Linked DNA regions of Arabidopsis thaliana. The protein of the gene in region 3 interacts with the protein of the main gene of each other region in a pairwise test. Each region holds a gene or a part of one and is shown on either strand. Other genes may lie near its edges.

Evidence for each region.
Region 1: the proteins of HDG11 (region 3) and RBCS3B interact in a two-hybrid assay, tested with the Arabidopsis thaliana proteins (one large-scale study listed by BioGRID).
Region 2: the proteins of HDG11 (region 3) and AT4G15700 interact in a two-hybrid assay, tested with the Arabidopsis thaliana proteins (one large-scale study listed by BioGRID).

The regions. Positions count from the first base shown.
Region 1 is NC_003076.8:15,375,708-15,381,007, reverse strand, and holds RBCS3B (Ribulose bisphosphate carboxylase (small chain) family protein), read left to right. Parts: upstream 1-2,591; 5' UTR 2,592-2,701; coding exon 2,702-2,872; intron 2,873-2,962; coding exon 2,963-3,112; intron 3,113-3,267; coding exon 3,268-3,507; 3' UTR 3,508-4,020; downstream 4,021-5,300. Other genes in the region: AT5G38400 (uncharacterized protein), read right to left, coding at 4,707-5,162. UniProt on the Arabidopsis thaliana protein: RuBisCO catalyzes two reactions: the carboxylation of D-ribulose 1,5-bisphosphate, the primary event in carbon dioxide fixation, as well as the oxidative fragmentation of the pentose substrate.
Region 2 is NC_003075.7:8,935,252-8,939,652, reverse strand, and holds AT4G15700 (Thioredoxin superfamily protein), read right to left. Parts: upstream 2,296-4,401; 5' UTR 2,109-2,295; coding exon 1,800-2,108; 3' UTR 1,529-1,799; downstream 1-1,528.
Region 3 is NC_003070.9:27,577,400-27,585,264, forward strand, and holds HDG11 (homeodomain GLABROUS 11), read right to left. Parts: upstream 5,287-7,865; 5' UTR 4,422-5,286; coding exon 4,276-4,421; intron 4,200-4,275; coding exon 4,082-4,199; intron 3,980-4,081; coding exon 3,791-3,979; intron 3,705-3,790; coding exon 3,222-3,704; intron 3,135-3,221; coding exon 3,033-3,134; intron 2,941-3,032; coding exon 2,740-2,940; intron 2,664-2,739; coding exon 2,483-2,663; intron 2,406-2,482; coding exon 2,146-2,405; intron 2,060-2,145; coding exon 1,970-2,059; intron 1,893-1,969; coding exon 1,494-1,892; 3' UTR 1,022-1,493; downstream 1-1,021. Other genes in the region: SUS6 (sucrose synthase 6), read right to left, coding at 7,134-7,553, 7,630-7,768, 7,853-7,865. UniProt on the Arabidopsis thaliana protein: Transcription factor which acts as a positive regulator of drought stress tolerance. Can transactivate CIPK3, NCED3 and ERECTA. Transactivates several cell-wall-loosening protein genes by directly binding to HD motifs in their promoters.

The DNA.
Region 1 (5,300 bases), on a different chromosome or scaffold from region 3:
TTTTTCGTTTAGCTCCTTTAAACAACATTGTGGCTCCTTTAAATTATCCTCATAATTCTTGCTTTTGACTCCCTAGACTAACCAATAAACTCTAATAAAAAAAGAAAAACTTGCTACATTGTTTTAAGAAATTTTGCACATGAAAGCAATCAATCAAACCTCGATATTTAGAGAAAAGTTTATGTAAGGGAGTGTAACCATTTTTCAGATGACATAGCCATTGGAGATTTGGAAAAGGTAGTATATACAGAAAATTCAAATGCATCTTTTAAAATTATAAACATAAAACATGTATTCCAAACCCCTAAGTGGGATATTAAGTCAAGAAATAGCATTACATAAAGCAAGGATCGACAAAGACTGAAATTTGTCAAGCATGAAGTTACTAAATTTTGGAAATTTTGTTTACGTTAAATTTGATCATTGGTTATGCATTAAAAGCTGAAACAGTTATTTAGAAGGAAAAGTAGTTAACGTTCCCAAAAAGTTCTAAATAAAACTAGATTCCAAATGATAATGAAAACGTCGCATCTACTATATGTTTGGTTTTAAGTTTTTGTTTTGACAAAAAATCATATGTTTTTGGATTCTTCTATGCAAACGAAATATAAAAAATTCATGATTCAAATACAAAATACATATAAAAATAATAATTCAAATTATCGAACATTTTTTCCATCTCCCGGATTTAATTCACACATTTTGGCTTCAATTAAAATCCAAGAAAAAGAAACAAAATGACTTATAAAAGACAGAAACTAGTAACTTAGATGGATGGGTTAAGACTTAAGAGTTAAGACTATCTCACTTTCGAAAAATGATTTATTTAGCTGAGGTGCGGAGTGGAGTGGACCTTGTGATCCTTTTCCCTACACGAAAGTTTTTTCGTGACCAGTTAATGTGTACTTTGTACACGTTTCTTCTCATATATATGATTGAAAAGGGGGCATTAATTTGTGAGCCTGAAGGTAGTAGTCGTGATCCATGAGTGCATGACCATAGTTTTATGTGACTTTAAGATGAGTTCTTGACTCCGTTCTACACCTTTGATTACATACTCAAGTTTGCATGGTGGAAATCAGCTTGAGGTGCCATATTTGTGCTTGAGGGGGCCGTAAGTGCAATGGCATGGTACTCCAAGGAGAACGGTTGCGTATGTGGGTTCCCCATTGTTATTGTGATGTGATCAGAGTCGCAAGATAATCGTGAGCTGATATTACTTGTTGATCTAGAGGCAGCGTGCATTACCTCATATAGAAGATACCATGGACTTTGGGAGGTTTTCTTGGAAATTCTTCCATGAGGGGTTTACCGCGCACTTGATACATGTAGATGATGGTTTTGCCGTTTCGTTTGTTCGCTCGGTCTCTTTGTCCCACAAACATATCTTGCATGATGTAGTTGTTGTTAGTATCGACTCAAATATTTACTCTCTCCAACCAGTAAGGTTTTGCTTTTATCCTAGCCACATAAAAATCAGAAATAAAAGTACTATTTGCTAAAAATGAAGTGAAAGTATTGAATTAACCGAAATCAATGTATTCAAATTTTGTCTCGCTTTTCTTTTGTCGACTAATATATTATCATTTGAAGATAATATATAACTTTTCCAACAAAAAGATTATCGACAATTTATTGTGGTAAATGATTTTCAGGATGTATCCAGAATCGACAGTCTACCAGTACTAGAATATATCTAATAGATAAATGGTTCTTCTTACACTATGCTCATTATGGATTCTTTAATTTACTCTTTCACAAAAGGGACGATGACGAAGGAGTCTCTCTACAGCACGTTAGAATTCTTTTGATAGGTTTACTTCCATTAGTCTGAAATGGAATCTTATTTATAAGTCTGCCTGAAAAATCTTAACAATTGATATTAATAAAACGGAAAGAGTAATGAATATTTTTAAGAGCATCTCGAATCTATCTCTATTTTTATTTATATACTCTATTTTTGTATTTATTTAACTCTAACTCATCTCTATTTTCATTTGTAAAATAGAAATTTCTAATTTTTTTTCTAAAGCAAAAAATAGAGATTTTTATTTTTTCTCTTATTTATTTTTTCTAACGAATTTTTGAGGAACCATTGAAGTTAAAATATAAATCTCTATTATATTTTTTCCTCTATATTCAGAAAGAAAATAATAGAAACAAATATTGGAGATGGTTAAAGCTTTTTTTTTTGTCCGGATAAATATCATACAATATATTTATGTAAATATCAAATTTAAATAATTTTGTTATAACTATTTTTTAATGCGACCTTATTTCCAAAGAAAGTGTTAAGCCAAATTAAATCATACATGGTAAATAAGAGGTCCAAAAGACCAAAAGCATTAAATTTAAGGTAATGCGTCTGGTTTCTTTTCTCCCAAACGAAAGGAGCCAAAAGCAACCGATCAAGTGGAGACCAGTAACCGCACATTCACTTCATTTCCCCCACAAGAGAAAAGATAAGATAATGGAGTTTTCTGCCACGTGGCCTTATCCTAGTGGTGCGTACCGATAAGGGTGTCAACACCTTTCCTTAATCCTGTGGCAGTAAACGACGTTATCATGAATCATGGACCCTTTGATCATGAGGGCTTTTCGCCTTTAGGGGGTTCTCATTATATAAAGATGACAACACCAGTAGGAAAACAAGTCAGTAAGTAAACGAGCAAAAGAAGAAGAGAAACAACAAGAAGTAGTAATGGCTTCCTCTATGCTCTCCTCCGCCGCTGTGGTTACATCCCCGGCTCAGGCCACCATGGTCGCTCCATTCACCGGCTTGAAGTCATCCGCTGCATTCCCGGTCACCCGCAAGACCAACAAGGACATCACTTCCATCGCAAGCAACGGGGGAAGAGTTAGCTGCATGAAGGTAATATCATCAATAAAAACTGTCTTTTGTCATGTGCAATAAAACAAAACATAGGATATATTAATTTGGAATTGGATTTGGGGATTATAGGTGTGGCCACCAATTGGAAAGAAGAAGTTTGAGACTCTATCTTACCTCCCTGACCTTAGTGACGTCGAATTGGCTAAGGAAGTTGACTACCTTCTCCGCAACAAGTGGATTCCTTGTGTTGAATTCGAGTTAGAGGTAATAAACACAAAAGTTTTCTTTTGTCTACTAATCATTATTATTTATTCGTTTTCATTGCTAGAAATATTAGCCTATAACCGGATTTTGTAGAACCGAAATAGACTATATCACCTTGTGCATATCCTCCAATATCAATTGTATTGAATGGTTTTCTTATGTGTTTATAGCACGGATTTGTGTACCGTGAGCACGGAAACACTCCCGGATACTACGATGGACGGTACTGGACAATGTGGAAGCTTCCATTGTTCGGATGCACCGACTCCGCTCAAGTGTTGAAGGAAGTTGAAGAATGCAAGAAGGAGTACCCGGGCGCCTTCATTAGGATCATCGGATTCGACAACACCCGTCAAGTCCAATGCATCAGTTTCATTGCCTACAAGCCCCCAAGCTTCACCGAAGCTTAATTTCTTTTCTAAAACATTCTTATGAATTATCTCTGCTCATTTCATTTCCTATTGTCTGTGTTCTTTTTCTCTTTATGAGACAATTTCTATCGGATTGTCAAATGTCTGATTTATGAATATGTAATTTATATATCCGTGCGTCTTGATTTTTTCCGATGGTTAACTAGTTTGAAAATTTCCGATGAGATAAGACAACATACAAAAAATCGAATAAATTGTGTAAATATAGATAATAGTGACATATGGATTTGTATTCATATTTGTCCATTGTTTTAAGAGGAAAAAAGTTACAAAATCTTATTTTCTTAATAATAAGTAAATTTACTTTATAAGGACTGTGAAGTGTGTAACATGTGTTTGTAGATCTCAGTCACACAGAGTTATTACCTTAAAGGAAAAGGATGGTCCACTTGAAAGGATGATAGACACATTTGTGGACGGTGCCAGTGCCATATACATAAGATAGGCTTGCGGATAAGAGTCCACTTTTAAATTTATGATTAAGACCCTTTTCTTAATGATCTCACATATCAATCTGAAACTTGTGTGTCAACATTGTCTTAATGACCTGAAATATCAATTTGAAACTTGTGTGTTCATTGACTTAATGAAACTACAAGAAATCATCAAATGTGTGAACGGAAAGTTCTTTGAAGTGTTTTTTATATAATTTGTGTAGACTTACATGCGTGTAGTTTAAACTTTAATATTAACTAAAATGTATTTAAATTAGGGTTTATCTCCTAAAATTGATTCTAAAATGGTTAACCCAATATAGGTAGTTTATGTGTTGGTAGATCTACCGAAAATCCAATTAGTTTGAATCTTGCGGAATAGAAAAAAACAAACTATAATCTTGATTTTTGGATCCCACCGTTGTGGATGCTCTAATAATGCAAGTCATGCATGTTTCACCAGCGTCTAAGTCTGTATATACGCTTTTGGATTTTGTTCGAAATATTGAAACACCAAATAAAACAAAAAAAAATACTGAAAATCTATTATGAGAAATCTCTGTATATAAACATAAACGAAAGTGAACCCTTTAAAGATATATTTTCGTTTCGGTCGATATACATACACTGATTTCTCAATATCTTCTTTTATCTTAAGAAATCCTATCAAGTATCAACTATCATCTATGTATATAGTTTCACCAACCCAAAATGATTTGTAACAAACACCTTAATCTTTAATATTTAGTTAAACCAACTCTTACCGCTCATCACCGCGTCATAACGCTGCCACCATCCCCACCCAAACGCAAACGCAAACCACGTCCATTCCTCTTCATATGTTAACATGTGCGGCCACTCCTCAACACATTTTGATGAGAGCATTTCCGCATTTTCCCTGATGTTCTGCACCGTGCCTTTCTCTTTCTCCTCCTTTTCCTTTTCGACAACAGTAACATTATTTTGATCATCTTGCGTATCTTCCTTCTTTCTCATCAAACTTATGATCATCAACGATTTCTTACGTTTAGGCGGCAGAGGTTTCATGCTCTCTTTGTAAACGTTCATCCGAGCTTTTGCCGTCATTCTCGCGTGTTTAGACTGTTCCCTTCGAGTTTCCTCTCCGTTGCTTGATCTATTTCTCTCTTTACCTTCATACACCGCGCTTACACGAGCTCTCTTCATAGAATCCACGTGCATTCACACATTTTTTACATCAACATGTTTTATAACTTGGAATAATATGGTCAGACTTAATATCTCCCATTTATAAAACGTGTATTGTTGTTATGGGTACAGGTATGAGTCTCCAACGGCTTTGATTGCTTTCTCTCTTTC
Region 2 (4,401 bases), on a different chromosome or scaffold from region 3:
AGAATTAGGTCAGCTTGTCACCTGGTTTACATGAATGATCGAGCAAACAATAATAGTTTTTGAATTTGTCCACATCGTCGAAGCCCACAATAAGAACCGCATGAATTTGCAGTTTCCATATTGTTCTAAAGACTCGGGGTGGTAAATTCCATGTGTTGACAAACAATGTGCTATTTGTAATAAAACTAGTTACTATAGAACATTAACAAAAGACAATTCAGTTATGTAAATCACATGTCTTTGGTCATCTAAGTCACCTTATAACTTGAGTGAAGGATTAAGGTTACATGAGATAAGACAAGGAATCGAGAACAAAAAGAAAAGACTTAACAAGAAAACCTGAGATGAGAAGTAACCAATTCTTGATTAACTTCCATATCTCATAAATGGGATACGTAATATCATGAAAACTTTTTATTTCATATGTATATACTATAAAGAAATAGAATTTCATATGTATGTCATGTCCCTTTGACATAGTTTTAGATATGCCATAAAAAGTTTCTAGCTCCTCTCATTCTTTAATTTGCGAAAACTCGAAATCGCAAGATATAATGCATCTCAAGAATTATAATATTCTTGTATGACCACTTGAGAGGGAAAGGAAAACTATGTGGTTCCGTTCTAGCCTTATCGTCATGAATGAAATCGAATCTTACAATGTTAAGAATCAAGAATCAAAGAGAGCTTTATCCTCAATTCCACGAAATTCTGAAATCTCAAGCTTGTGGCCAAGAAGATTGATTAGTGAAGCAGCCACGTGGGGCTCAACAAAATTTTAAAGCCATAGTTTTGCATTCCTTCCTTCCTAAAAGATTATTGGTGGCCCAATTTTGATCTCAAGAGCCGTTATTCTTATATCACAATACAAGGTTATCATCATTTGAACATTACGTGATTCACGTACCGACACATTATATGTATGTAAGATGCCTATTCGCATCAAGTTCCGCAACTGGCTCGTACTGTCCTATTATTGGAATATATGTAACAATGCAAAGATTTTCCTTATATGGCAGAATCCAATTCCTTACACACTTTGTTATTTTAATGGTTAGAAACGTCATTTTTTATCATGATGTTCAACAATGTTTCTGTAGATAGACAGTGAAGAATTTAATGATTGATTTACCTTAATTCTAAATTTCTTTAATTGATTATAGAGTTGTTCTAAGATCCATATCTCAAATTTACGCAATCTCCTGTATTTTTACACTTGTAAGTTGTAACTAGCTAATTCAGTTGACAATCACGCCTAACATTTATTAACAGTTGCATATCATTGTAAGAATTTCGTTTGAAAAGTTAAGGCTTGACATTACACACGATTCAGACTCGTCATCGCTTTTTAATTTGTGGCAGATACAAATACAATATTCTTAGCCTATAAAATATGCCTTCTTCAAATTTTTAAATTAATTATTATGTCTTGGCGCATGTTCTGCATAAATAGTTATATATTCTTTCTTTTTTCCTTTACACCATAAAAAATCATCTATATTCAGTGCACGTGTATTCATTTCTAGATGCATATATGTATACAAAATTATATAAATATGAATTGGGAAAAAGGAGAAATCCAAATGTTGCTGATTTTTATTATAAAATATAAATATCTCTTAGATGCATGTTTACAAAATAGGTAACCGCATAATCTATCTTTTGAAAACTTAGATAGATAGACATATATAGTAATAAACTCATACATACATTTTTGTATATGTTTTTTTTACCTTTTTTTGTTCACATTAATAAGTTTCTCAGAACCTAAGTCATTTGCAATTCCATTTATTTTGAAGTCAAAGCCATAAAGCTCCAGCGCGCTTAAGCATTGGAACAAGGGAGCGGTTGAGATGGAGACTCATGACTTGATTGGCTCCACCAACAAGCTGCCCTCCTATGAACACCACTGGCACTGTCGGGCTGCACCCGAGCTGAGCCAATGCATGCTCTATCTCCTTTCCTCTGCTAATCTCATCGAGTTCATAGATCGTCGGGTTCACGCCAAGGTCTAAGAAGAGAGTCTTGATTGTGTGAGACATGCAGCAAGAGTTCTTGCTAAAGATCACTACCGACTTCTCGGAGATCATCTTTTGTAGATTCTCCATTAGTAATATAACGTGATAGATATTTGAAAACTGTCTTGCAAAGGAGAAAAATAGGTGTGTTTGGTCAAAATGCTAGATTAGAGATGAATATGGGAAAACTAGATAACTTATAGAGAGATTATTGATATATTTGGGTGAAAATGAGAAGTGACTCTGTGTTTTTGTGTTTGATGGAGTGAAGTGGGTAAGGTCCTTTATATATAGCTTTCTAAAGTACGTAACCTTTCTTATTACGTTGCCTTTTTCTACGAGAATCAACTTTAGCACAAATATGAAATATCTCAAATTGTAAGTAAAGAAATAAAAGAACACAATTTTAAATGATGAAAATTAAGATAGTCGAAGTATTCCGAAAGAATCTGAGGATATTATCGGTTCACACGTCTTGACTCTTTGAGTCTTTTTCCCTCTTGCAGCTAAAGAATAAAACTATCAACTAATTTGGTAAAACGTACAGAAAACAAAATCTCTCTTTGATATATATGAGGAATAATTGATACGGACGAATAATGTCATGTTTCATTAGTACGGCCTTCATTGTGAAAACCACTGATAAAAAGCAGAAATGAGTTTTATCTCTGCTAAACTCGTTTGACTTATAAAATTTCAAAATTCCGAAATATGTTTTTAGTTTCAAATAAAGTTGAAAATTGCTAATAGTGTTTACTCCGGATTTCATTTTGGCTCATTTAGGCTTGTGATAATAATTTTTGGTTTTGAGAATGTTACTTTCAATCTAAATATGTCGTCAGGAATGCGTCAAAAATATCCAACACATTATCGACATATAAATGTCTTGACGCCTATATACGAAAAGATTTCATGTTATCGTGAAGTCGTCGTTAATTGAAATTATCGGATTTCGTGTACTATACTAATATAGTATTCAAAATTAATTGAAATATTTCTTACAGTATTTTTGAGTCTAATAAGAAATTATTAATAATATAGCAATTATTTTTTGTAACGGTTATGTGTACATGATATATGGAAAAATATTTCGATATCTAATATGCTTTCAATCATACTTTATAGTATTTCATAGTGTATGTGTTCTGCTGAAAATCGGGTAAAAATCATTGGATAGCTTGGACATAGTTTTAGATACGCCTTGGACATAGTTTTAGATACGCCAAAAAGAGTTGCAAGCTTCAGTGTTTGAGAAAACTCGAGAGAGTATGAGATAATATCTCAAGAATTGTTTTTTTATAACCACTTGAGAGAAAAAGGCAAACTTTGTGGTTCCGTTTTAGCCTTACCGTCATGCATGAAATCGAATCTTGCAATGTCAAAGAATAAAACAAAATTGAACTTTATTCCCTATTCGATGAATAAGATTGCTAGAAATTCAAGCTCGTGCCCAACAAGATGGATATGATAGTATGATAGTGAAGCAACCACGTATATATATATCCTAAAACCAAAAATATACAAAAAATGTAAAATATTAGTTTTTTTTTTGTTTTTCTCTTCAAAATAGTATTAATGGTGGCCCATTTCGATCTCAAGAGTCACTTATTGTTACATCACAATACAAGGTTATCATCATTTTCAGTGTACGTGATTCATGTACCGACACATACATTATGTAATATGCCAAATCACATCTTATTCTGCAACTTGCCCGTACCGTCCTAGAGCATGGAATATATGTAACAATGCAACGTGTTCCTCTTATGGTAGAATCCAATTCTTTACACACTTTGTTGTTTTAATGGTTAGTAGCGTCATTTTCTACCATGATGTTGAACAATAACGCCCACAACTTTCTTAAATGGATAGAGAAGAATTTAATATTTAGTTTACATCTATTCAAAATTTTCTTTAATTAAAGATAGATTGTTTAAAAAAAAAAAAGATAGACAGATGACACAGATCTGCTTCATTCATATGATCATATCACTAATTTACGAAAGCCGCAGGCCCGCAGCAAAAGTTTTACTTGTAACTAGTTAAATAAGTAAATAACATCAGATCCTAACATTTAAATCCTAAGATAAACTTTTTTTTTCTTGTAACAAACCCTTATTAGTGTAAGAATTTTTCTTTATAAAAAGTTAGATATCTTTCTAAGTCCATTATGTGAAATTACTCGTATGAACCAATTCCCATAATTAAGGCTTTACATTCTATTACCTATTAAAACAATAAAACCATATATAAGAAAGTATTTATATTTCTGCCTTTAGCTAAACTTAAATATGTATATGCTGGAAATCTCTTATTAGATAGTATTATTTTCTATAATTGATATATATGATTTTCAACGAACCATCAATTAACAGGTTAAACA
Region 3 (7,865 bases):
ATTTTATAATGACTTCAATAATCATTTAATTTCTTCAATCCAAAAAAAAAAAAGAGGAGACAATTTGTCTCCCACAAATTATTAAAACAACTACAAGATAAGAATAAGAATTGCATATTGTTTAGAAGAATGAAAAAAATCATTAAATTTTGCAACAAATTACACCACTAAGAAACTTATCTCAAATTTATTTCATATGTCCCATTCATTTTTTTATATACTATAGTATCTATCCACTTAATTTACAATTCTGTAAATCATTTATGATTTTTTTTCATCATGATTCATGACGCCTTTAAGTTAAGTGCTTCACTATCAATCTATTTAACGGTCTAGTCGTAATAATTTCGATATTTCAAAATAAATATATCAGAAACACCTGTTTTTTTTTTTTTTGAAATTACTAATAGACAAAAAAAATGGCTAGCTTAGCCTTAGACAGTTAGACTAGTAACGTGAAGTTCATTGGCACCATGGCATGGACCTAATTTAGGTAGAAAGTACCTTTACTTTACTGTTGATACATCATTAATTACGAGTTCATAATACGGATCAACCCTACACAAGACTATTATTGTTAACAAAATAACGGTACGTTCGATTTAAGGAACCAATCTTTTTGAAAGTGTGAAACCAATCTTTTTGAAAGCAAAATAGTTTTGATTTTGATAAATCTCTAATCTAATAAACAAAAGAAAAACCGCACGTTCGATATATTTGTTTTGGGTCCAAAGGAGATTTTGAGACGTGACATGAATCTTCACCATAAGTTTTGATATAAAAAAAAGTGTATTAATAGATTTGGATCCAACGAGAGAGTGATGGGTTTTTATGGTCTCCGTACGAACACAATTTCCTTTTAAAGCGAACCAACCAAAAGAAATCGCATTTATCAAATCTTTGTTGTTTCTTCTTTCTCTCTTCTAACTTTCAAAAAAGTCATCAACTTGTCAGATTTCCATCACCTAACCTCTCTCTCTATCTCTCCACCCATAACAACAACATTTAGATCAAAGGAGAAGAAGATTTAAGAACCAGTTAAAACATAAACAGACCATTAATGAAGAGATGAACAAAGTTTAAAGCTTTCAAAAAAACTTTGCAATAGAAGTCAATGCCCGAACCATACAAACAAAGTCAAAGTTGCATGGTGCGTTCTTGACTTCCAGTTTCTTCTAGTAATAAAAACCCAATAAAAATACCCTAAAAAAATACTCATAACCAACCAAAAAAAAAAAAAAAAAAAAACCAAAAAAAATGAAGAGAGAAGAATCCAGCTGTTTTTTTCTTTTCTTACAGAAGTTGTTTAATGAGGTTTGTCCAAGAACAGAACAGCACCAACAGAAGCAGCAGAACAATTGGAGTTAATGAGCTTCTCTTCTCTCTCTCTGGCATTGAAGGCAAAAGAAGGAGTTAATTCCCTTCTCTGTTCCATCATTGAAGAGAAAGAGACACCCAGAAGAAAGAGGGAAGAGAGCTTTTAATGGTGTGTGTCAAGCTGTAGTTGAAGCTGTAGGACCGCTCAAGGCGGTTTTAATTTGATGTACAGTTGTTCCTATCAGGTTATTAACCGTTTCCACCGACTCCATATTCAGTTTTGCCGTCGGTAAATTGCTTACCATTATCTGAAACCCAACCGTTATCAACGAACCGCTAGCTGATGCCCGTCCTGAGCTCGTCGAGGCTCCTCCTTGTTCAGAGTTTGAGCCATTTCCATCTGGTGAGATTGTGAAACCTGAGGACAAGAGAGGAATATAAGAAGGATCTTCACCGCTCATTGCGATGTTCAATGCTGCTAAATCCACTGGACTGTAGACCACAAATGCTCCTGATGAGTCTGTTGAGCTTTCTTGCAGAATAAGCATGTTGTTGCTATGTGTTGCATTGGATCCCTAATACACAAAAACAAATGAGTCAAAAGAGAATTAAGCGGAAACTTTTGTATCACTCTGTTGTAAAAGAGGCTTACACGTAGAACCGATATGCAGTTTCCAGGATGTGATCCGTTTGAGATGTGAGCAACTTCTTGCACTGCGTTTCCGTTTGAAAGAACATCCCACTAGTATCACAAACAAGAAGGAAACAATATATACATTATCAAATGAATCTTTCGTATGAAGATTTTGAATCTTGTGTTGTTGTTACCTGAGGACGGGTTCTTTCGTCTTTGAGGAAATTGAAGACATTTTGAGGAGAATTGGGAAGCCAGAAAGTGGTGGCTGCACATAGGACTGTGCCGTTTGGTTCAGGGCTCTTATGTGCAGTCACACGGATTCCAACTTCGTTCAGTTCCGAAACAACGGTTGAGCGTGTGTTGTTGGATCTGCTGACACTTAAACAGTAGTTGCTGATCATCCTCTGAGCAAGTCTCATCATGCTTCTCTTCCCTTCCGGTGATAGAATCACTGCAAAAAGTTGCTCAACAAATGTTAGTTATATGGAGTTTAAAACTTTGAGGTTCGCAATGGAAAATTATGTTTACCTCCACCGAGATCACGAGATGAAGACGCTGGTACCGATAGAGAAGCAAATCTTTCACACATTCTCTGGAGAGTGGTAACCCAACGATCAGCCCCAAAAGCAATCCCTCTGTGAATAATCTCTCTGTATAGCTCATGAACCAGTTCTTTTTCTTCAGTTTCAATATGTTCAACCCAAGTAACCTGTTTCAATTCATCAGTTTAGGGATATTCTAACATGAAAACATGATTTAGTTGACAGAGGAAAAAGAAGTTTAACCTTGGAATATCCATTGGGCATATCCTGAATCAAGCATCCAGATGGAAATCTATAGGACTGAGAGTGAGAAACAAACTGAGGAAGATCATATGAGACGTTTACAACTATCCAGCTTCCTTGTTCAGTCTGTTGACAATAGCGTAGCTCGCAGAATTCGCGTGTTGCTACTAAAGGCGAAAGCACTTCCATTTCTTCATACAACTACATAACCAAGCCAAGCAAAGTTACTATTATATATAAGTCAAAATGAAACAAAAATAAAAGGAGAATAGAAGTATAGTATCAAATATTACCAAATGCAATGCACCCTCATGGGTACCTCCCATTCCTGAAGAAATCACTGCAAGTGTTTTAGAAGCTGCAATGATAGAGGGAAAGAGTTCTGTCCACTTGACCTGCAACAAGAAGACAATATTTTTATAAGAAATGCTGCAACCAATTGTGAAACAGAACATGATGATGAGGATGTCTCAGCTACTTACACAATCCATGAACATGTCGACAAGTGCCATAGCATTCATGAAGACAATACCAGAAGACCTTGATGCTTCGACTCGAAAGTTCTGGTTCTTCCCTCGGTTACTTGATCTTGGGAAAACATTCTCATAGCTACCAAGATTGAGAATGTCTCTGCAGCCATCTGTTCTTGTCCATAGAGGTTCATTTGTCTGAAGAAGCCTGAGCAATTCTTCCATTGCAGTCAAAGCAATGCCGGTCATAATAGGCTTATCCATGTCTGATATAGCCAAGTTAGGCTGAGATTGCAGATTATTATTAGGACCAACAGCCATAGAACTTCCTGGAAGAAGATCAAAATCGAGTGAAGGACCATGACCAAAAGGTCCACAACCAGTTAAACTAGTCATTGACAAATCCAACGGTGAGATGTGCATTGGATGTAGCGTAGAGAGTTGCGATATCGGTCTTCCCATGTACTTTGATGCAATGGTAGACATTCTTTCAAGCTATGCAAAAAGATCAAATTTTCACAGTCAAAATGATGTTTTGAATCAATCTTACATCAATAAAAACTCGCAAAACAAAACCAAACCTCTTCTCTAAGGTGTGCATTTTCAATCCGAAGCTTTTGTTCATCAAAGTAAGGATCTTCACTAACAGGAGGACCTCCACAGTTAGGACATATAGCATGCTTGAGAGCTTCTCTAATAGCAATGTTTTCGCAACGAATTTTATCATTCTCTGCCTTTAGTGCACTATTATCTGCTCTCTCATGTTGAGCCTACACAAAACAGTACCACAACGAAAATCAAAATCCTCTCTTTTCGTGTTCAGAATTACATTTTAAACTCAAAAGAGAGAGAGAGAGACAGAGACACAAAACCTTAAGCTGAGTTCTTCTGTTCTGAAACCAGAACTTGATTTGTCTTGGAGCCAAACCCAATTCTCTGCTAAGCTGGTTCCTCTGTTTCTCATCTGGATGAGGACACTCCTTGAAACTCCTGTCCAAGTTTCAACGATTACAAAATGAAAACAGAGTCCAAAAGATAAAAAAGAGAAGGGATTGCAGAGTAGTACGATTCAAGGCGTTGAATCTGTTGAGCGGTGTGACGATGGTAACGTTTCTTCTTCCTATCAGTTTCAGAGCCGTCGTGATGATGACTACCACCACCGTCTCCGCCGCTTCCACTACCACTTCCGCCGACGCCGACGACGAAACTCATTTTTTTTAATTAATGTTTCGAAAAGACAGTAAAACAGTCTTTAATCTCTTTACTTTTCACCCAACCACAAACTACTAATGGACCATTTACACCACTGTCACCATTAACACAAACCCAACAGAGCAACACACCAAAAAAAAAAAAAGGTTCAAATTTTAGAGAAGAGGAAGAGAGATTAAAAGAAAGAAAAAAAACGAAACGGAAGAGAATCTGAAAGAGAAGATGCAAAGGCGATGATTTCGGGAGGTGAAAAGGTTTCGCTTTAGGCAAGAAATTGATTACGAAAACAAAAGAAAAAAAAAAGGAATTTTTACAAATCCAAAAGAGATAGGTTTTTTATTTTAGCCGTAATAATGTCTCTTCTTAGTTCTCTACAGAGCCACCCTAGAAAGAGAAAGTGAGATAGTATATGATCTCTTCCTTGTAAAGACTTTCTCACCTAAGCTAAAGCCGCCATTAGTGCTCCCAAACCCCTTTTGTTGCTTCTTCAACATTCATTACAGATTCGCTAAAAGAAAACTCTCTCTTTAGAAATTGGCGTAACTGATGGGTTTTTAAATTGACAGAAGAAAAAATAGAAAAGAGAGAGAAAGAGAAAGAGGGTTTTAAAGTCTCTTGCTCTCTCCATTACTGCTAACTAGTACTCTCACCATACTCGGGGAAAGAGAGAGAGAGAGGACCGAACCAACCTTCTTCTTTTGTTTCTCTTTCTATACAACTAACTCTCTTTTTTAAGTTCCGGTGGATTTTTATGTTGCCGGAGAGGGTTAAATTGACGGTGGTTGGATAAAAAAAGGAGAGGACTTTATCCACTTTCTCCGGCGATTTTCTCACCTTCGTATAATGACAAAAATTAACTTTTATTGGGGATTTTGCTGATCTCATTTTCTTCTTCTTCTTTGGATTTTTTATTTATTTCTCTTTCTCATTTCCCAAGTTTTCTTACTCTGTTATAATTTAATTGTACTTTCTCTAATTTTTGCCTAATTTAGATGTACTAAAAACAAATAAAGATTTATTACTATAATACATAATATTTCTTCAAAATGAAAAATGAGAAAATCTGTGTAAAGGCAATTTTAATTACTTTGTACTAGATTCTTACTTTTCTTAAAACACCACTTGTTTTGTTTAGTGAACAAAGATCTATAATTAAAATGGATTTTCTTATAGATATTTACTTTTCTCAAAACATTACTAGTTTAAGGATATTTAATAATAATTATTGTATTTTAATAGTAGTAATTATTGTTTTAACTCGTGATAAAACAAACATTTCTTACCCACGGTTAAAACTATTAAAACGTTTACACATGGACAAACAACTTATCTGCACTGTAGTCTTCTATTAAAGCGAGCGGGTCATAAGTTCGACAAAATTGCCAATAGTAAAGATTATTTACTGAATACAATGAATGCATGGAACGTTCCACTAATTTATAATTTTTTCTATATAAGATTATTAGTACTATGTTTTACCTGATTTAATCATACATTCATATTTAGGAACATCGCACGTTATTCAATTCCTTTTAAGACTGTTTAAATAACATAACTTTAATATGATATAATTAGCTATTTTTATATCTGTTTAAATACTGTAATCAAAATAGCTTTATTTTTATTTTTAGTTGTTGTATTTTTGCATTTTTGGGTCGTCTCGATGTGTTGGCTGTTTCCTACTCACGCGGTCTTAACTCTATTCACTTCGAAGTGTATATCAAAAAAAGTCAAACTGTTTTTACTATACATTGAAATTAGAAACCTGTGGAAGAAAGAAATATGGTTGAAACTTGAAAACTTGACAACAATGTGAATTTATTATACAAACTTTCGTTGACAAAAGGGATTGCATGCGATTTCTAATTTTGTTTCCTCAACAACGACGACATTAAGTGTTAGCTGAAAATATGATACAACATACTGTATGATACTACTAACCTGATTATTAAAACAAATATGAAATCTCATAATTAAACTGATTTGCAAATTTTCTATTTGGTGTTATGTTTTCATTATTGGATGATATAGAAACGTATCATGGATTTCATTAGAGATTATGAATGCTATAATGCGAAGTAAATATAAAACTATTTATGAACTAAAGATAGTGTAATGAATTTGTGTATCATTCACCAATTCTTTGTTATTGATGAGATAATCATTTAGGAACAAAAGTTATTTATATTGTTTCTTATTATTATCAACTTTGGTCTTTAATTTACCATTCATGTGTGCATTATTTTATTCCTAAAAAATATTGACATCAGTCTGAAAAGAAGAAGCAATTAAATAGAGTCCTTAAAGCCTTGATATAAATTTCTCATCTTACCACATTTATTTTGGGACCTTGAATAAAGTGAACCAATTCACATACAGTCTCTGCCTTCGTTTGCTCCATATAGCTATCCCTAAATTTAATTATCATATGGACCGATTCATTACTTTATTTATTATCTTAAGATATTAATTCAAATATATGTTCAACCAATTTTCATAATTAATACATGCACATAGTACATACACGTGTGTAATTATATACAGTTGGACAATTTGGTAAGCCAATATTAATTCACAAAGCCAAATTAAAAAAAAAAAAAAATCTTGACCAATTTGATTTTATTAGTTAATTTTACATCGATGGTAGTTTCATTCATTAGTCATTACATATTTTACAGTTTTTCACTTTTCCTCGATCCAAGGTCAAACTTTTTAATACTCTTGAGCCGAGTTAGCACCAAAGAACCTCTGCTTCAAAATGTAGCAGATATAGAGACAAACAACGACTGACCAAAACAAGTTTCGAACCGGCGAAGCTCCTTGGCTATGTTGTTGTCCATACGCAATCTTCATCTTCTCTAGCTTCTGTTTCTCTTCCGAAGATTCTAAAACTTTCTTCACTCTCTCTGATGCGTCAGCTGCAAGCAAGCCTTCTCTTACCTCTCTTTCTCCGACCTTTACATCATGTTGTTCTTGACCATCTTTACTTTTCTGTTTCGTCTTTTCCGTTTCTGTAACTTCCTTTTGCTTACTTCCTGCTCCAAGATTTGTTGTTTTTTTGGGAAGAAGGTTACGGAGTGAAGCCAGTCTCAGAGGCAGAGGTTTATCTTCCGGGATTGTCACTTTCTTGGTCTACAAGAAACCATAAGGATGTAAAGGTTAGTTTTGTAGCTTTCATCAATAGTAATCTTCAGATAACAAAACTCACCAATTGTTTGAACTGGAGATTGTAAAGCATTTCAATATATCGCTTCTTCGCTTTCTTTTGATCTTCGTTCACCTGTCTCCAAAATCCATAAAGGCTTCCCATTTTAAGCAACTTCTCTGCATAAATCTTCCATGTGTAACTGCACAGACAATACAAAATCCACAAATAAGCAATGTAATCTGATAACTGATAAGATTTTTGTTTCAAGATTATCTTTACTTACCACTCATAGATGC